3 linked regions of the Sus scrofa genome follow. The protein of the gene in region 3 interacts with the protein of the main gene of each other region in a pairwise test. Links are inferred from orthologs where the notes say so. Each region holds a gene or a part of one and is shown on either strand. Other genes may lie near its edges. The genes, in order: AMMECR1, LONRF1 and ADAMTSL4.

Evidence for each region.
Region 1: the proteins of ADAMTSL4 (region 3) and AMMECR1 interact in binary tests that used the Homo sapiens proteins (3 or more experiments, as listed by UniProt). The two-hybrid records come from large-scale screens. The link is inferred for Sus scrofa from reciprocal best matches to the Homo sapiens genes ADAMTSL4 and AMMECR1.
Region 2: the proteins of ADAMTSL4 (region 3) and LONRF1 interact in binary tests that used the Homo sapiens proteins (3 or more experiments, as listed by UniProt). The two-hybrid records come from large-scale screens. The link is inferred for Sus scrofa from reciprocal best matches to the Homo sapiens genes ADAMTSL4 and LONRF1.

The regions. Positions count from the first base shown.
Region 1 is NC_010461.5:90,309,938-90,316,716, forward strand, and holds part of AMMECR1 (AMME syndrome candidate gene 1 protein), read right to left. Parts: intron 4,128-6,779; coding exon 4,037-4,127; intron 2,608-4,036; coding exon 2,511-2,607; intron 1-2,510.
Region 2 is NC_010459.5:913,164-920,042, forward strand, and holds the start of LONRF1 (LON peptidase N-terminal domain and RING finger protein 1), read right to left. Parts: upstream 4,059-6,879; 5' UTR 3,960-4,058; coding exon 3,248-3,959; intron 1-3,247.
Region 3 is NC_010446.5:98,585,585-98,592,463, reverse strand, and holds the start of ADAMTSL4 (ADAMTS-like protein 4), read left to right. Parts: upstream 1-3,208; 5' UTR 3,209-3,374; intron 3,375-3,885; 5' UTR 3,886-3,959; intron 3,960-5,119; exon of another isoform or gene 5,120-5,196; intron 5,197-5,856; 5' UTR 5,857-6,052; coding exon 6,053-6,072; intron 6,073-6,270; coding exon 6,271-6,328; intron 6,329-6,642; coding exon 6,643-6,879. UniProt on the Homo sapiens protein: Positive regulation of apoptosis. May facilitate FBN1 microfibril biogenesis.

The sequences.
Region 1 (6,779 bases), on a different chromosome or scaffold from region 3:
TTCAGAAGCATAACGTGTAACATGTACTTTTTCCTTCTTCTTCTTCTTTTTACGGCTGCACCTATGGCATGTGAACGTGCCAAGCTGGGGGTCCAATTGGAGCTGCAGCTGAGGCCTACGCCACAGCCATTGGCAATGCCAGACCCTTAACCCACTGAGCAAGGCCAGGGATCGAACCCACCTTCTCAGAGAGACAATGTCGGGTCCTTAACCCTCTGAGCCACAATGGGAACTCTGAGTAACATGTATTTTCCACCTTCAATCCCTCACCCCACACTGCCCCTGGGCCCAGTGCCTCTTGGCTTCTGCTGCTGCTCCTCCGTGGAAACCCGCTCTGTCAGAAGCCACCTGGCCGTCCTGCCGCTCCATTAGGACCCTGCTCACCAGTCCCTTTTGGAAGCTCCCTTGTGCCTGGTGGTCTACAGCTCTATACTCCCCTGGTTCTCTGCTTGCCTCTCTGACTGTTCCTTATGTCTCTGGCTGCTCCTCCTAGCCCTGCCTTGTAGAATTTTCCTACATTTCCACCTTCGGTTCCTTTGACCCTATGCTCTGTCCAGGCTCAGTGAACCTGGGCTTCACAGCTTCGACCATGTCCTCCTTCCCAATGATCTCAAATCCCCGTCTCTGGCCATGAGCCCTCCGCACCTACGTGTTCAGTGACCTATTGGACATTTCGATACAGATAAGTCAGGAAGCACTTCAAGCCCAGAATCAACGCACACGTGGGACTCTCCTCATTGTGCTCCCTCTCTTGGTTAAAGAGACTGCTTTGGCCCCTTTTATTAGATGAAAGACTTTACTTGCTTATCTTCCCTGCTTCTGTTTTATTTTTTTTTATTTTACTTATTTTTTGGTCTTCTTTATAGGGCTGCACCTGCAGCATATGGAGGTTCCCGGGCTAGGGGTCGAATCGGAGCTACAGCTGCCGGCCTACGCCACAGCCACAGCAACGTGGGATCTGAGCCACATCTGCAACCTATACCACAGCTCATGGCAACGTCGGATCCTTAACCCACTGAGGGAGGCCAGGGATCAAACCCACGTCCTCATGGATATTAGTTGGGTTCGTTAATCACTGAGCCATGACGGGAACTCCCCTACTTCTCTTTTAGATTTTGTGCATTTGCGTGTGTGTGTGTGTGTGTGTGTGTGGCTGCGCCTGTGGCATGCAGAAGTTCCTGGGCCAGGGATCAAACCTGCACCACAGCAGTGACCTGAGCCACTGCAGTGACAACACTGGATCCTTAACCCACTGAGCCACAAGGGAACTCCTTCCCTCCTTCTGAGTGATGACTAAGTCTTCCTCCCCCTCCCCAATATTTTCCTTTCCCTCCTTTCTTCCCAGCACACTGCCACAGCTCATGTTGAGGCTCCCGTTTCACCTAGTGTGGATGTCTCCCAATGAATTTTCCTATTTCCAATTTCAATCTTACATGTCCCCAAATCCATCTGTTCAAACCCTTCGATGGCTACCAAGTGCCTATGGAATCACGTTTAACCTTCATATTCTCCATGAACTGGCCTGACCTACCTTCTGGACCACATCTGGCCCAGTGACCGCCTTCCCTATGTACACTGAAAGACCAACCCGATCAGACTATTGAACGAATTTGCTCTGTACCTCGCCACCTACATACCTTGACTCACAAAGTTCCGTTTAAGTGCATCCCTTTCCTCCCCACTCTCCACCTGTCAAAAGAGTCTACTCATTCTTCAAGCCCAGCCTCAAATCTATCTCCTCTTTGGAATTTTCTGTTATCCCCAACCCCTCCTGGAATTCCTCTTTCCCTACTCCATGAGCTCACATCATCCATCACATTCTGTCTTATATTAACAATTATTTTTGTACATGCCCTTCTGTTCTCCTAGAAAGTGAACTCAGAGAAAGCCGAGATGGAGGCATTTTCAAATCTGTGACTCCTCAGAGCTGAGAAGAGTCCGTTTTTAAACTACAGGCATTCCATGTGGTTCCGTGGAATGAAAAGAAATGGAAACAGCAACCCATTTTCCGAAAATGTTCGATCTTTTCCTTTTAAAATAAGTCCCCCTATTGGCCCGTGCAGAAATTCATTTAGCATGTGCGAGTCTAGCTCAATTGTGTTTTCCAGCAAGCTCTCTATCACTGCCAAAGTTCTAAGGTGAAATTCAAATTTGAGGACTGCTTATCAGAATCCTGGGGTTCTGCTAAGCAATGGCAAAAGCTAACCGGTAGCTAATTCAGGCCACTTTCTTCAATAATGCAGTCTAAAGGCTCAGAGGGCTGGCTTCTGCAAAGCCAGAGGAATCACACAGAGTGAAGATGGGCTGGGTGGGCCCATACATCATACAGGCTTTGCTGCCAAGCAGAGGTTCCACTGTTATCCGCCCCTCAGTATGGCCCAGCCATTCATTTCCACTCTGTTTCAGAAAAGAGAAGCAAGCACAGTTAGAGAGACCAAAGAAATCAAAAGGTTACAGGTATACACATCAAAATGTACTAGGCAGCCTTGCACTAGGAAATGCTTCTGTACCTGGTCAGTTTTATGGTTTTCCTGAATTCATTAGTAATCGGAGCTTTGTATCCTCCTTTCCTCAGTAAGGAGTCTATGGTCTGAATATGGTCCCATCCTGTGGAGAGTAGACCAGATAAAATACCAGTCAAGCACATGTAACGAGCACCTGTGGTCAAATACAAAATGACTTTGTAGAGGTCAGCGATCACTGTCACCAAATGCCATCAACCCCTTTGGTCCTAAAAACAGTCACACAGAAGAGCTAAGGCTGCATCGGGTACAGAAGCAGGTACCGCCCAGTACGCCTTATATCCTAGCTATACCCCCGATGGCTAGCAACCTTGGCCTCTTTATCTCAACCGCATTCGGAGGCAAGGAACCCAAGAGGCTGGCAGTAACGGCTCTGTCGTGTCTCACATAACAAACCACAAACGCTGTGCCCTCCTCCACCAGGGACAGCTTTAAAAGGGAGGGAAAAGCCTCACTGAGCCAACGCAGTAGTAGTTAGGACTCCCACACTAACTCATGGTCATTGCCATGTTTAGCAGCATCTTCTGTAGTCGATCAAGGGCATCTGTGTGCAGTATTCAAAGGCGTTTTTATTGTTTCTGACACAGGATGGATACTCATACCCGAGGCCCTCTACCTCTCAGGTCTGCTTTACAGAGTCACGGAATGCAACTACAGAATTAAGACATTTTCTAAAGCAACCCAGATCTTCAGATAGCTGCTTGAAAGACTGACTCTCTCGTTTGGGGGTGTGGGGGGGATTTAATGATATTAAATTTGGCAGTTATACATCTCACATTTACATGAAACAGATATGGGAAAACGAAGTACAAATGCTTTCTGATGAGAGGAAACGCTCCATGAGATAAAGAAGAGACATTGCTTTGAGCTAACCTGACACCAGAATTTAGCAGTGGGTGGAAAGGAGAGGACAGTGCAGAGTGAAATGTTATTTTGTGTGGCAGTGGTAACTCATAAAGGTGTGTGCTACGGCGGTAAAACGGAAAAAAAGTTTGATTAGGAACATGTAAAACACTAAAAATGGTTCATATTTTCTCAATGCTCCTAATCTTCATGGGAAACCTACGATCGTAACGGCAGCACAGGAAGTAATGGGAACCAGCTAAGAAGGAAACATTTGATACTGACAATGAACTGCGTGGCTGGCCGCCAAGCGAAAGGCTGATTTATGCCACGAGGCTAGAGTACAGTGGAATATGGGAAGATGGCACCTCAAATTCATAGCAAACCACTGCCTAAAACAACACTCAATTTTTACAAATCTTTGCTTTTTTTTTTGAAAGTACACTTTTGTATGTTTTTGCCGTCAAACTTTAGTGCAGAGGTGCAACTTTTGTGTGAAGTCACCGATTTCATTCAGACATTGCAGTGGCAGTGAGGGAAGAGTCATTTCTTATCATTAATTTGACAGTGATCAATTATCAGATAAAACTGCAAGGTCAGATAGCGCATTTCAATTTGTGTATTTGTTTCAATTCTTCACCAGATCATATGAAATAAAGTACAACAATGACCTTGCTCCTTTGCAACCTCCGGTAGGTAGGTGGCGGTGCGTTTTGATCCTTTTTCATTGATGAATTCTATTCTAATGCCATGTACACCCACCTGAAAGAAATTGGCAGTTTTATTAGTACAGTCTTCTTCATAGAAACAGAAAGAAAAAGTTATAATTTAACTTTCAAGAGAATGCAGTTCTTCCTTTCCCCTTGTTTTTGGAAGGGCATGTCTGTTTTCTCTTTCCGAGACACTGACTTTGGGACTGAAGGTCGTGATGACAGCCATGGAGGCTCAAAACATCGATGTGCATGTGACCAACATGCGCTGGGCCACGCCATTCTGTTTAGAACCAGAACCACCATGCTGCGCCTGGGTGCAGAATAAGACCATCAACGCCAAGAGTCCTGCCCTCCCCCGCCCCTGCCCCAATTTGTGGCTCATGACAATAAGGGGCAAGATCCAGGGAAGTGACTTCAGGGAGAGAGCAAACAACCCTCCTGCTTTCAGGGATGATCACCGTTTCAGATGAAGTCCCCACATTTCTGGGGCTGCTGATTCCCATCCCAAACTGTCTAGTAAACCTTGACTTGTATGTACATAAACAAACAGAGAAGACCCCCCCCCCAAAAAAAATCCAACCAGATCCTATGAGCTTACCCATTACAGATTGTATTTCTAAAAAAATGTATTATGGCCAGTGGCAAACCCTCACCGTCTATCTACAAAGCTGCTACCAAATCTAAAAGCAATAAAGATTGTGAATTGCTTCAGGGCAGGGCGTTTCTGCACAGCTTCTCATATACCAACCCAGAGACCACTATAACTTTATCACGTGAAACAGACAAACTTTTGGTGGCGCCCTAAAAAAGAGTCTAAGTAAGTAAGTGTGTGCAATTTCTTGCCAATGGTTTAAGAAAAGTTACATATTGTTTCTTTGAGGTAACATTCAACCAGAAGAAAGCTGTCCTCTCCCCTCACGTCTCACAGAGAATAATAGTGCAGAGAGGAAAGATCATTAAAAAGTTCTTGACGTCCTTAGATACACTGATAATAAAAATGGCATTTCAAAAGTATAACCTCTCCATTCTCTTCTCCCCAATCTGTGGTTGTTTAGATCAGTGGTTCCCACGTGGAGGTTAAGATCGTCCAAGGTCCTGGAGGGAAGATGTTAAGACCAGGTAAACATTTTTACCTGAGAAAGAGGCTTCTTTGCAGAGCAGGCGGTTACACCCATACATCTGTATGGATTGTCAAGGTCTAGAAGAGGCAGAGGGGGTCCCCGAAAACTTCTTTTGCTTCTTCTGTGCTTACTGGCCTTTTTCAGAGAATAAAAACTCCTCTGGAGTTCCCGTCGTGGCGCAGTGGAAAGGAATCCGACTAGGAACCATGAGGCTGCGGGTTCGATCCCTGGCCTCGCTCAGTGGGTTAAGGATTCTGGCGTTGCCCTGAGCTGTGGTGTAGGTTGCAGACACGGCTCGGATCCCGCGTAGCTGTGGTGTAGGCCGGCAGCTCCAGCTCCGATTCGACCCCTAGCCTGGGAATGTCCATATGCCGCGGGTGCGGCCCTCAAAAGGCAAAAGGCAAAACAACAACAACAAAACCTCCTCTGGGAAATCCTTTTCATTTTTCCTCCCAGGTCTTCTGCACATCCATCCATTAGCGTCTGTCCGATCTTCTGATCAGTTTATGTTTTTTATGAAAGCCTATCTCTGTGGCTCTTTTCTTCTATCTAAGATCAGTATTCGTATGAATCTCCTTCTGCTGAAAATGCAATCAGGGCAGCTGTTTAAAAACTAACACAATAAGGCCTCCCATACCCTGTGGGAAATGGCTCTGGACAGCTGAGAAGAAATATGAGTGCTTAGCTATCAGGCCTTTCCAGGATAAAGGACATCTACTAATCTCCCCAGTGCCCGACATGGTACTGAGACAATGACAAATTTGCAACCGTTTCTGTATACTGCCTTTCTGATGAGTGACTTTGAAATTTTTTTCCTTCAACATATCAGATCCTTCATCATTTGTTTTTAAAAACATAACGGCACATATAATTTATGCTCCCATCATTCACTGAGGTAAATTCTGCATCTTCGACTCCATTTATCAAAACTCTGTCATGTTAAAATTGAAAAGAATTTTGGTGTTTATTAAGGTGTCTAATCAAAATTGTGAGTGAAAGACTGTTTCCCTGTCTGTGAGATGAGGATGCTGGACTAAATCAGTGCTATTTAATTGGCACGGGGTGAGGATGGGGGCCGCAGCTTATCAGAATGGCAGGAGGTTTTGTACTTCACCAAGTGTGGTTTGGAAAAATAATAACGCCCCAGGTGATTTTTTTTTCTGGGTTAACTAGATAACCTCTAATAATCAGTCTAGCTCCGACAAACTGTGGCTATTTATTGGGGGAAAAAAAAGCGATTTAGGCAAATTGGAGGTGATTTAGACATAAATCCTTTCTTCACAGGAGTACATTCTGTGTTCTTCAACAAAAATTACAGAGATTTTAAAGCCTAGTAATTTAATAATGAAAAGAGGTAAGACCAACTGTATGGTACGTGGGTAATATCTTAATAAAGATACAGCTATGTGAAGAGGTTAAGACCAAGCTAGAAGGACACGCTGACCAAAATCAAAATTATTCATGAGTACAACTGATTTACATTTGTATTTTAAGAAGGCCCAACTATCAAATTTGATAGGAAAATTATCAAAATTCTCCCATTTGGAATTAGGACCCCACTTACAACGTTTAAAATTCTT
Region 2 (6,879 bases), on a different chromosome or scaffold from region 3:
CTGGCAGATCCAATTCTCACTTTTCAGATAAGGAAAGCAAAACAGGGAGGCTAGACACAGGCCCAAGGCCAGAGAGCAGGTGAAAGCTAAGCTGGGATTCAAACCCAGGTGGTCAGACAGCAGCATGCACAGCTCTGACCACTAGGCAGCTCTGCATCTCTAATCCTAGGTGCCTCACTTTCCCTCTGAGGATAACACTACTCCACAGGATTCCTTGTGAAGATCAAATGATATTAAGAATTTAAAACTACTAGGTAATAGTAAAGGACTACATAATTGATATTCAAGATAAAAATTTCCTTCTCTAAGTATTTTAAATGAAATGTTCTCCCCCTCATAACTCTTATTTCTTTTTAAACCAGTTCAAACTGTAAATTATACTCTTCTATTGTCTTCTTTGGGGGGAGAGTGGCAAGTCAGTGCAAAAATTCATTGAAAATAAGAGAGCATAACAAAGTGGGATCATTTCAATAGACTCCTGAGTATAAAAATTCAATACAGAAAAGACTTTTACATAATGTCCTTGAAAACTAAAAAAGACAGAAAGTTATGAAACATCTGAGAGTTAATACCAAAAGATCAATGGATTAAATGTTATCTAAATATATTTCGATTCAACAGAAACTTATGTAATCTCAATGGGAACGTTCTGATTTTGGCAAAGGTTTTCTAGCTTTCCTTTCTTGTTGACAAGGATTAAATTTGGATGTGTGTGGGCTAACTGTATGTAGACTAGATTTTTTTCCTAGTTAATAGTATTTACTTGTTTCATTGTAAGAATCATATGAAAAAATTATAGTGAAGGTCTTTTTCCACTGTCAACAATAATGAAGATATCAGAGTAACTACAACTGAATACAATTATAAACACATTTTAAATGCCGATCTAGCTAACTAGCTCTCAAAAAGTTTAACTCCACAAGTAGATTTCTAAGTCTACCATATCTTTTTATTTATACTCATAAACTGTTAAACACTTAATATCTGTACTTCACCAGTTACAATGTGTTGGTTCTAAGGTTTTTTCCCTCTAGTCTGTAATGAAAATTCAAAGGATGAAAAAAGCTATCTTCATTAGTACCATTCAGACACGTTTTTGACAGGAATTTTTGAAAGACCTAAAAATGAGGGGAAAACAGACTAATGAGGTGAAAGCAGAAGACTTGAGTTCAAGTTCTGCAAAAGCAGAATTAACCAGCTGAATGGACAAGATTCCACATGCAGTCTATGCAAAAAGAAAAAAGGAGAAAAAGTAGATCTTTCATTCTTTTTCTGTTAAAAATAACATCCTCAACCCCAGGCCTCAAATCTTCTTTAATTAAAAGATTATTGGTCATAGAACACCAAGCTACATCTTAATTAGTAAATGTACTCCCTGTTCTTCCAGAGATTAGGCTCTGAATTCTTATGAAATGCCTTATTTAAGAGATCAAACCACTAAATCAGTAGGAGTTAATACTGAATAGCGCGGTCAATAAGTTTCATCCTTTATTGGTGACAAAATACTTTCTCAGAAATTTATGTTAAACATTTTCGTTGTATGAGCTATAAAGGTAGGACAAACCATGGTCCAACATTTAGGAGAACTGGAGGACATAGTGTTTCCTCTACAACCAGCAGGCTTGTGACTGTGGACAAGTCATTTCACTGTCCCAGCTTCTGCTGCTTCATTTTTAAAATGAAGACCATGTCTTAGATGGTGTGTACTTCCCCCTTCATACTCTAGTCACCTGGAGAGGCTGAGTTGTACCAGCATTTTATATTCCAAATAGTTTTCTTTGGTTCTGCCTCTATCAACCTATTTTACAACTGCAACTTCTCATAAAGACACTGAAAGAATATAAAAATATGCCAAGTTTGTGCTTTAAACTTTAAAGGTAGTCAAAAATTCAAAGTAGGTATTAGTTCAAAATGACTAAGGACTTAAGGTAAAAGACCTACAACAAATAACTTTACATAGTTTATAAATGCACCTAATACCACTTTATATTCCACATCTATTTTCTTGGGGATTATTTCCCCAAGTATGATTTCATGCCTATATATACCTTAATTTTGAAATATGCTTACTCAACACAAGGCTCAGCAGTGACAAATCTGATATTTGGGGCCTGACTATTGTGCGGGAGGTTGTCCCAGTGCATCATCAGTTGTTGAGCAGAAACCCTGGCTTCTACCCATTAGATGTACCAGCACCACTCCCACAAGGGGTGGCAACCAAAAAATGTCTCTAAGATATGGCCTCAGACAATGTTCCCTGGGTCAAATCCACCTGGTAGTAAACTACCCATTTAAATAACTTTTCATTTTACAGAGCTAACTCTGGCAATGCCTCTTTCCACAGCCTAAAACCACCTCAAGTGCTAGCCTAGGTTAGGAGGCCGAAACTTTCTTGGAGCGAAGAAATAGAGACAAAAGCTCCCCAAGGCCTTTCCCCGCAGCTGAATAAAGAGTGGAAAGGCAAAGAGAAGCGTGGCAACGAACTCATCAGGCTGCCTCTTTATCTTTAACCAGGTGTATTCAAAAGTAAGTACACGTGTGTTTCTGAAATAAGCATGATTTGAAATAGGTTGAAACCAACAAGAGCAACCAAGTCTGCAGGGGTTTTCATCTAAAACTGCCTACAACTCCAAAGCCCGATTGCCTACAGAGCCTCGGGGTGCGGGGTGCGGGCGCCAGACTCCCGCCACGCCCACTGGACGTCACCCGTTACACAACGCCCTCCCCCCGCTCCTGCTTATGCAATTCTGCCTCCCGCGGCTCCCAATTGCCCTGGTGACTTTTGCGGGAGACCGAGGTAGACGTTGCACGCCCAGCCTCTGCTGGGGATCCTCTCCCCTCCCCGGCCAGCGTCGCCCCGTGGCGGCCCCGGCCCCGGCCGCGGAGGCCAATTACCGGAAAGAGCGCGGCAGGAAGCTGGCGGCCACTTGGGCTCGCCCCACTCCCACCCCATCCCGCGCTCCGGCGGCCTCGCCCGGCCACCCGCTCGCTCGGTCACCCGGGCGCGCCCGCCACAGCGCCAGGCCGCGGCGGAGGGAAACCCGGCCGCGTCACAGTCGGCTGGAGGGCGATCCCCATTGTGACCGAAGCACCCTGGGGCGCCGCCCCCTCCCACACCCTCCCGGACCCTGAGACGCGGCCTCGGCCGGCGGACGGCCTCGGGGAAGCCGCTCGGGGTCGCCGAGGAGCTCGGGGCCGCCCGCCCGTCGGGGAAAGGAGGGTGGGGTCGCCGGGCCCGCGCGGTCACCTGCTCGCAGAGCCTCGCAGGCAGCGGCCAGGGCCTCCCGGTAGCGGCCCTGGTGCAGCAGCTCCCCGAGCCGGCCGGCCGCCCGGGCTCGCGCCCGCTGGCCTGGGAACCACTTCTCGGCCAGGTGGTTGAGGACGACGCTGGTCCTGAAACCCGAGGCGGCGATGGCGGCGGCCAGAGTCGGCGGCCGCGGGGAAGTCCCCTCAGCATCCGCGGCCGCTGCGGGCGGCAGCCGGTCCCGGCAGAGGCGGCAGCGGGCGCGGAGCTCCCTCCGCAGGCAGCGGCGGCAGTAGCTGTGGCCGCAGGGCACAGTCACCGGCTCGCTCAGGAAGCCCCCGCAGCCGAGGCAGCTGAGCAGCCCCCCGGCGCCAGCGGGGGCGCCCGCTGCCGGGGTCGCACTCCAGCGCAGCCCGTGGCGGAGCCTGTAGTTGAACACCAGGCAGTCCACCAGCGTTCCGAGGCACTCGGCCCTGACCGGGGCCCCACGGCGCAGCGCCGCCGCGTACGCCTCCAGCGCTCCCTTCAGGTGGCCGCCCAGCGCCAGCAGCTCGCCGCGGCGGAGCAGGAGCTCCCAGCGCTCCGACTCCGCGGCCGCGCGCTCCAGTCGGTCCCCGTCGCCGCCCACTTCCCAGAACCGGCCCCGGCTCGGCGGCCGAGGGGCCACCTCTTGGCTCCCTCCGGGGGAGCTCCTCGCCACGGCGGGAGAAGACATGGCCCGCGGAGGGCTGCGCCGCCGCCGCCGCCCGCCGCCACGGTCCCGGAGCCTCCGGGGCGCGCGGCTCCGCACGCTGCCCGCGAGCAGGGGGGCGTGGCGCGCGGACACGGCGGGGCGGCGCGCGCCCGGGAAGCCCCGGGGGCGGGGCCTGGAGGGCGCGGGGCGGGGCCGGGCGGAGCAGCGGCGCCCGGGACTCCCCCGCACCGCCCGCTGCCGGGTCCCTGCGGAGCAGACCGCCGGCCCCGCCTCTCCTGAAGCCCCTCCTGGCGGGAGACGCGGGGTCAGATGATCCCTCAGCGGGGATCTAATTGGACTCTCTGGAAAGGAGGGCCTGGCTTATAACTGAACAAAGCCCGAAGGAACCCAGACTTCCTTCCCCTACCCCCTGCCCCTCCGCCGGACATCCCCCACCTGGCGTGGCCTCTACCCTAATCCCAGTTTCGTGGGTGGTGTTCTGCCCGGCAGCCCACCTTGTGGGACTAAGTCCCAAACTGCCAACACTCTCTTGACTTTAACTTCCACCTGAGTGGGAACCCGCCCCCTCTTTGTGGCCCCTGGGAGCCTCCTGGTGTAGTGTCCCAGTGGTCAGGTGCTCCTCTGCATTTTCACTAGTTTATGCCCAAATTACAGATGGACACGTAAAGACAAAGGGTTTAGGAATGCGCAAAATCAGTCTAATGACTCCAAGGCTGGAGTAGGTCAATTTTAAGACCAAAATAATCCCACTCACCTATCTGATGTTACTCACTCCAGAGGGTAAAACATTTTTCCCTGGTGGTGCCAAGTTAAGGCTGCCTTTTTGGTTTAAAGCCCAGCGCCCCCGCTCCGCGCGCGCCCCGCTGTTTAAAGCTTTCCTCCCATCTCAGAGGAGACCAAAGTTTCCTCTGCACATCTCATATACTACCACACAGCTGGCTAAGGCCTATGTTTGGCATTTTTAAAGAGAAAATACCAGGATAAACGTTTTTCGAACAGCAGTAACCATATCACTGTAACCCAAGCAGGGTCTGCAGTTTTGCCCATAGAAGAAAAAGAAAATGATACAATTTTTGTTTAACAGATTATATTTCCTTTAAACTTGGTGGCAGCGAGATTAAAGCTCTTTGTTGAAAATGTTTATAGAATTGACCATTGGGTACTGGATTATTAATGCTGTCCTTTTTCAAATGTTTAGAAGCAATAGCCCAGAGAGGGAAAGTTACTTGCCCAAAATCCCACAGCTAATAATACAGGTTTTAAGATCACTTTACTCTCATTCCACTATTATTAGATCTTAGGTAAAAAAAATTTCAAATGCGGAATTTTAATCTGATGCTATGTCTGAAAATAGCTGATATTTAACATCCCTCTTTATACAGAACAGGCAGCTAGGCTGAAAACTGCTTTGATTTACATGAGTTTTTAACTACACAGTAAGTACATCTTGCAACTTCAGAGGAAATGTATATACATGGTGACCAAGGGAACAAGGAAGAAGCTGAGGAAAAGCTCAGGCTCCTGTTCCAACAGGGTGCAGAGATAAACCAGTTCATTCATCATCCACATTGAACCTGAAGCAAACTGCAGCTGAGAGCCAAGGAGTAACTCCTAATCATTTGAGGTGACAAATAATGGGATTAATTCAGAGCATAACCTTGAATCTAGTCATAGCCCCCTTGAATTACTGCCTTCCCTTAATAAAAGAATGACATTAGTCAGAGGCCCACATACTCATCTGAAACTTGAAACTGTTTGTAGTAAAACAGATATCCATATGCCTGTGGACATTTACTTTTTGAAGTATTCCTGTCCTTAAGAACCACTTGCAAAATATGCAACAGTAAATATTTAATACATGTATTCATGATTACACAAAAAGTGTAAGTTGATAAACATGCTTATATTTCTTATCAAATATAGTTCAAATCAGGATTATTATGAAATTCCACCCCCCAAGTTAAATATATGATTCAGAAAATAATATGAAGCATCATTTGTCCTTTGCAATTTCTTTCCCCAATAAATATGACAAATAGCCACATTTGATTCTGGTGTGAAATAAAATAGTACAATTATGATAATGAGAGAAAAAATGAGACCGTAGGAGGCATCTTGCCGTGTTCTCCTTGGCATTTGTGAATGGTTATAATTCATGTTTGCTGGTTTATACATTTACATAACTGGTTCTCATTTATGTAACTTATTTATGTAAGAGGTTGTACTGCCTCTGTGGCCTTCGCATGCTGCCCAATTTCCCTCTGAATCAGGAAGTCTGGAGCAAAATGATCACTGGTTTTAGGATAGGACACTTGTCTGTCATTCTGTGCCACCAAAAGAGGATAAGCACTTTGATGCGACTGCTTTTTAAATTCAGAAGAGAAAGGAATTGGTATCGTTCTTCATTCATTTTCTAAAATTTGGACTTTGGGCTCTGACTCACCCAGCAGGCTGCCATGGAGGAGAGGGAATCCTGGCGGGGGGGGGGAGGGGAATGGGCAGGGAGAAGCAGGATGGGGTGAAACTCTCCTCTCTTTCCCTTCCAGCATTACGTGCTTGTGTCTTTGCTAAGAAAGTAGTAAAATCATGAGATTTGTATTTCATTTCAGTTTTTTCATGTTGTCTTCTAAAATAGATCAGTTATGTAAGAGAGTAAGAAGCATATCTGTTTCCTAATTTGGAAAATGCTTATCACCATCTTTCCCTGCGTATCCCTGCCCTCCCCCGCCCCACTGCACCAGAAGGAGACTTTTCCTGATATAGTTAGGTAAACTATTTAAGAATTGTGTAACATAGTGCTTTTCCTGTGCATGAGGCAGCTAAAGATGTGTATTTGAACTTTTTTTTTTTTTTTTTTTTTTGCTGTGGGTGAATTTACCACTTGTTTCTTCACATTCTTACCATTTAAAAAAAAAAAAAAAAAAGAGAGAGAGAGAGAAAT
Region 3 (6,879 bases):
CCTGGGACTCATTTGCCTGTTCTATATCATTTCAATTCAAATATTTCTTTCTTTTCTTTTTGGCCACACAGTGGGGACTTCTCAAATATTTCTTTTAACCCTACAAATACAAAAACACACAGACAAAACCCACAAATACAAAATATGAAATAGGGAGTTCCTGCTGGGGTGCAGTGGGTTGAAGGATCCAGTGCTATGTTAGGTGCAGCGTAGGTCATACCTGTGGCTTGGATTCAATCCCTGGCCCAGGAAATTCCATATTCTAAGGGTGAAGACATTAAAAAAAGAAAAAGAAAAAAAAAATAGATGACACAAAGTAGCCTAAATTGGTCCTGTCTCAAAAGAACTTAGGGATTTATTGAAAAAATAAAATACAGATATTAAACTTCATATAAGGATATAATGCTTCTATTGTAAAAGTATTTTATATTTTCACTTCCCTCATCTTTTAGAGATGAGATTTTTTTTTTCCCCCTTTGGCTCTGATCAACACTTGTGGAAGTTCTGGGGGCCAGGGATTGAATCCAAGACACAGTAGCAACTGAGCCACAGCATAGAAAATGCTGGAACTCTGAGCCACCGAGGAATTCCTAGATAACATTTGCTTCTGTTGAGTCCCGTTACCTCCCCAGGGCTCTTTCTCCAACTAGACCCAACTCTTTGGCGGCCAGAGACTATTCTAACTATGCCTTCAGCACCAAGTGCCACAAGTGCTCAAGAAATGATAGGTGGGCACATCTGAGACCCAGTTATTTTGTGGGGATGCAGGAATGTTGCTAGAGCTTCTATTTTGGGAGAAGGGGCTGCACCTGCTGCATGTGGAAGTTCCTGGGCCAGGAATGGAACCCAAGCCACAGCAGCGAACCAAGCTGCTGCAGTGACAATGCCCCTGAACCTTAACCCGCTATGCCACAAGTGAACACTTAGAGCTTCTTCTTCTTGTGCTTTTTTTTTTTTTTTTTTTTTCCTGTCTTTTTTAGGGTCGCACCCACAGCATATGGAAGTTCCCAGGCTAGGGGTGAAAATCGGAGCTACAGCTGCCAGCCTATGCCACAGCCACAGCAACCCCAGATCCGAGCCACATCTGCCACCTGTACCACAGCTCACAGCAATGCCGGATCCCCCACCCACTGAGTGAGGCCAGGGATTGAAGCCGCATCCTTACAGATACTAGTCAGATTCATTTCTGCTGTGTCACAACAGGACTCCCAAAAATATCCTGGTTTTAAAATATTGACAAGTCACTGAAAAAAAACCAAGAGCTTAAAAATACTGAAATAAATAAATGAATACTAATAAATAAATAAATAAATAAATAAATAATAAATACTGAATAGGAGCCCTACGTTGCTGTGGCTGTGGTGTAGGCTGGCGGCTGCAGCTCCGATTTGACCCCAGCCTGGGAACTTCCATATGCTTCAGGTGCAGCCTTAAAAAGCAAACAGGAGTTCCCGTCGTGGCACAGTGGTTAACGAATCCGACTAGGAACCATGCTCAGTGGGTTAACGATCCAGCGTTGCCGTGAGCTGTGGTGTAGGTCGCAGACGCAGCTCGGATCCTGCGTTGCTGTGGCTCTGGCATAGGCAGGCAGCTACAGCTCCGATTCGACCCCTAGGCCTGGGAACCTCCATATGCCGTGGGAGCGGCCCAAGAAATGGCAAAAAGACAAAAAGAAACAAACAAACAAACAAAAACAAACAAACAGGAGTTCCAGTGGTGGCACAGTGGTTAACAAATGCAACTAGGAACCATGAGGTTTCGGGTTTGATTCTTGGCCTTGCTCGGTGCCATGAGCTGTGGTGTAGGCCTGCGGTTACAGCTCTGATTAGACCCCTAGCCTGGGAACCTCCATATGCCGAGGGAGTGGCCCTAGAAAAAGCAAAAAAATACAGCAAACAAACAAACTGAATAGACTCAATAATACACGACTGCGGTTGATGAATAAATGGCAAATAAAAATTTAAATCGTAGTGTCCATTTGTTATCTACTGTCAGCCATTTTGTATATATTATTTTTCTTTGTTTTTAACTAATGACATAGATAATGCTCATGGTTAAAAATTCAAAAACATATAAGCATAGAGTGACAGCCTCCTAACCCCACAACCCCTCCCCAGGTATTGTCTCCAATTTTGAGTCTGGGATGTATTCTTCCATAAATAGACAGACGTATCTCCAAGCCTGTCATATGAATCAGATAAGCCCATTTTACAGATGAGGAAACTGCAGCACAGAAAGTTTGAAGTACTCATCCAAGACCACAGAGCTGACAAGTCCTGGAGCAGAGATTCAAATCTAAATCGTCTGACTCCTAAGTCAGCGCATTCCTCCCGCTATGCCCTGTGTGTCAAATTTTATGGATGAAGAAACCTAGGCTTGGAGTTCCCCTCCTGGCTCAGCGGTAATCAATCCAACAAGTATCCATGAGGATGTGGGTTCGATCCCTGGCGTCGCTCAGCGGGCTAAGGATCTGGTCTTGCCATGAGCCGTGGCATAGGTTCAGAAGCTTCTCGGATCCCTGCGTTGCTGTGGTGTTGGCCGGGACTGCAGCTCTGGTTATACCCATAGCCTGGGAACTTCCCTATGCCCCTGGTGTGGCCCTAAAAAGACCAAAAAAGAAAAGAAGAAAAAAAAAAAAAAAAAAAAAGAAGAAGAAGAAGAAAAAGAAGAAACCGAGGCTCATAGAGGTCCCCTGAGCAGCCAGAACCACATGGTTCACAGCCAAACGTGGGAGAGGCAGGGATGAGAGTGTGCTTGCACCAGAGGCTGCGTGGAGGAGAGGGCCTCCGCCGATGGGGCATCTGGGATCGTGCGGGTCTATCTCGGCCCAGCAGTGCCCAGATCTGGGCCCAGAGGCTCGTCCACGCCGCTGGTGTACAGGAACCACCCAGCCCCTTGGCGCCCCTCGCGGCCGCCCCGCCAGGGCAGGCGCAGCACTCGCACCGCCCACTCGGAGCCGGCTGGGAGGCCCGGGTCCCGGAGTCCCGAGCCGCAGCCAGGCCGGGAGACAGTGCCCGGGGGCGATGGCTGTCTTCGAACAGGGCTGGGACCCCTTCGGCTTCGCCCCCTCGAGCCGTCGGCGGGCGCCGGGCGGGAGTAGCTAGTCCCGCTACTCTGGGTGGGTGGCCTTAGCGAGCCGGGGGCTCGGGGTGGGCCGCCCAGACCCGGGGGCCGGCGAGGGGCGCGGGCCGGGCGCGTGGCGGGAGGGCGGAGTGGGGGCGGAGAGGGGGCGTGGCGGGGGCGGAGCCGCGGCCGGAGGCGGCAGAGTCCGGAGCCCGGCTCAAGGGCCGCCGTGGCCGCCGCGGAGCAAAGCTGTCTCGAGAGAGCGCCCGGGCGCAGAGGGGTTAACGGGCCGCCGGGGCCTCGAAGAGCAGGTACAGACCTTCCCTGGGACCCCTGGCCCCGGCTGCCCTCTCTCCCAGGTCCCGTTAGACCACCGGCCCTGCGCGCCCGCGCCACCCGAGTTCCCTGCTCCCCAGGGTCGCGCCCCAGCCACGACCCCGGCCCCAGCTCTTAGAGCCTCGGAAGATCTTCCAGTCCCTGGGGCCGGATTCCTGGGGAGGGGGTCTGATCCCTTGGAACGCTGGCCCCGTCACCCGGCCAAAATTCCTACTAAGTCATAAAGTCGGAAAACATACGCAGGACCTCGCGGCATGCGCCGGGCGCCACCTGCCCTCATCTGAAAGGGTGCTCCTGGAGGATGTGTATCCCACCCTCCACCCCCGTCCTTTGGCCCTGGAGTTGGGGGATAGGGACGATGGGAGGGGTGCTGGTGGGTGCCCGTGATCAAACTCAGCCTGATTGGAAAGGAAGGACACCTGTCGGGTTGGGCCTCCCTCACTCAGGAGTGGAAGGTGCAAGGAGAACCAAAGTGTTTTCTCTCAGCATAGGGACTCTCCAGCCAGCCCTGGAACCTGCTGTCCAGCCTCCTGCCCCTCCGTGGCACCCATTTCCCAGAGGTGGGTCCCCTGGGGGTGAAGGGGTTAGTCTCTCCTTAATCTTCACTGGCCAGTGTGGAGGTGTGGCCGGGAGGAGCCCAGGTTCGTCTAGACCAATGTTAGCCTGGCCCAAGGGTGACCACTTCTGACCTCTCCTTTCCTCACCCTGGGCGGTGAGACACACCAGATGAGGAACATGAAAAGGGTGAAAAACACAAATGTGTGTCTGTTTCCGCAGTGGAGGGGGTGTCGGCCCCCTGCCCAGCTATGCAGGAGGTGGGGTAGGACTTTTCCAGAGAGGGAGCCAGGCCTGGCCATGGCCCCAGGAGCTCACGTCACCCCACCCCCCACCCCTCACTTCTCCAGGGAACTGCCAAAGCCAAACTCAGCTCAGGACAGGATTATGTGTACTGGGTAGACCCATGGAGAGAGAAAGCAAGATACAGACCTGGGGTAGCTGCGAGCAGAAGCAGAGAGGGATTGGAGAGGGGCCTGGCAGCAAGAAGGGGTAGACAGTGACCATCACCCCATCTCTCCTTCCCTTCAACCTCCCTCCAGTGAGAGGCAGGCAGAGAGCTGAAGGCTTGGGTGGAACGTTGGCCCTTCTCTGGAGCCCCTACCCGATCCCCCATCAGGGTGGAGTTGCTGACCTCAGTGGCCAGCCCAGCCAAGGGAAGGAGCAGACATCAGCAACCCCTTCCCAACCCCAAGGAGCTGAAGAGACCCTGCAGCTCGGGCTCAACCACTGCGACCCCTCCCTCAACTTCCCAAGTCCTGGGGTCTCAGGGAGGGGAGTGCGGGCTGGGAGTTGCTACCCCCAAGCACATTCCTGCCCTTCCCGCTGTCATTTTCCTGCCCCTGAGCTGGCCCACCTCGGCATTAGCTCCTTGGATTCCTCTCCCGGGTGCCTTTCAGATCCAACAGAAACATTTTTTTTTTTTTCCTGGAAAGCAGAGCTCCAAGCAGCCTGAGGAGTGGGGGTGGAAAGGCCTCACTGTGAGCAGGAAGGGGTTGGGGGGCAAGGGGGAGCGGTGGAAGAGTCAGGCTTAGACCAGGGGACTAAGTTCTGCTTCCCAGATGATCAAGGCTAGACTTCAGGATGGACTTCCCAGCTCTTCAGAAGATAGACCAATGCGGGACTGGGGAGCAACGACATCTCTAGCTGCATCTCCCCTTCCCAGGTTCTCCAAGCCCATCAGAATCTCGCCTGAAGTAAGCCCTCACTGATCCAGGGCTGGACGCCAGCCCCCAGAGGGAGGTGAAGTCTCAGTGGGAAAAATCACTTGCTTCTCTAGAGATTAAACCATCAGCCCATTTAGTTTATCCCTTGGCTGAAAAGCATTTGAGGCAGGCAGAGATGTGCTTGAGGGTTCCAGAAGGAGCTTAGCTAAGAAGGGAAGAGATGGAGTTCCTGTCGTGGCTCAGCGGTTAACAACCCCAACTAGGATCCATGAGGATGCGGGTTTGATCCCTGGCCTTGCTCAATGGGTTAAGGATCCGGCATCCCTTGAGCTGTGGTGTAGGTCATAGACACGGCTCTGATCTGGTGTTGCCACAGCTGTAGCTCCGATGAGACTCCTAGCCTGGGAACCTCCATAAAAGAAAGGAAGAGAAAGCTGGGAGACAGGCAGGGGAAACCCAGGGGCTTCCAGTCAGCAGCTCAGAGGGGGTGCCTGGCAAGTGCTTGCTGAGCCTCTTTTCTCAGCTTTCCAGGAGGAGCCAGGTGGAAAGCAACTTGAGAAGGATGCATGTGCCTGGGCTGGCTTTGAGACTGTCCCTAGTCAGGACTGGAAGGAGCTGAGACCTTCCTACAGTTGAGGGAGGGGATTTAGCCTGAGTCTGGAGGCTGAGGGCAGACCCTCACCCTCTAGCCTGGGCAGACGGACAAAGAAGTGTTCCTTCTTCTTCCCACCCTTAGGATCTTAAAGAGCTGGGCCAGTCTTCTCCACGCCTCCCTCCTCACTCTGACATGTCTTGCTGAGGGGTCATCCCTCCCAGTCCCCAGCCTTCCCGAGACTGGGTCCGTCTTCAGTCCTCTGAAGCCTAGATGCCCAAGTAGAGTGTTTCCTTTGGGTCCCCTCCTCCCTTGCCCTGGGGCCACCAAGGGAGGAGTGATGGAGAAGCAGGCGATCAGGTAAGAGGTTGGGGCTGCTCTAATGGAGGGATGGCTCTGTCCCCCTGTCTCTGGAAGTAAGAGGAAGGAGATCTCAGGGTGGAGCCGTGGGAGGTGGTAACTTCTGCTTTCTGAGAAGTTGGCATCAGGATGTGGGGAGCCCACTAGGGGTGAGGGGTGGTGTCAGACAGCACCTTCACTCCTGCCTTTGGTTTGCAGGCCCGGGTTGTGTCTGATGCTGCTTCTGTCCCTCCCTCAGCTCTGCCTGGATCAGGAGGTGAGCAGGGGACTAGAGGCTGTGAACCTTCCTCTCCCTGTCCCCCCCCAGCCCTGCAGTCTCCAGACAGACCACGTCTCCATTTTCCAAAGCCTCTGGCAAGCCATGGCCCCTTTCTCTCACGCTTGGCCCTCCCAGCATCCCCAACACCCTAACTCCTTGCCAAATAACCTCAAGTCCTACCTCTGCCACTGAATGTGACCTTGGGCCAGTAACAACTGCCCCAACCTCCAGCTTTGGACTGGATATTCTGTACAGATATTCTGTACCCTCGAAAATCATTCTAATTTCGTTTAAATTTTTGGTCTACACAGGTGTTGTCTGGACACTCACTTCAGACACCCCCTGAGGAGAGCCAGGGCCCCGAGGGTGTCTGGGGTCCTTGGGACCAGTGGGCCTCTTGCTCCCAGCCCTGCGGGGTGGGGGTGCAGCGCAGGAGCCGGAAGTGTCAGCTCCCTGCAGCTCACCTCCACCAGGGCCGGCCCCCAAGACATCCAGAAGGCCTGCTCCCCCGGGGTCAAGGCCCTAGACCTCAGACTTCCCGAGAAACC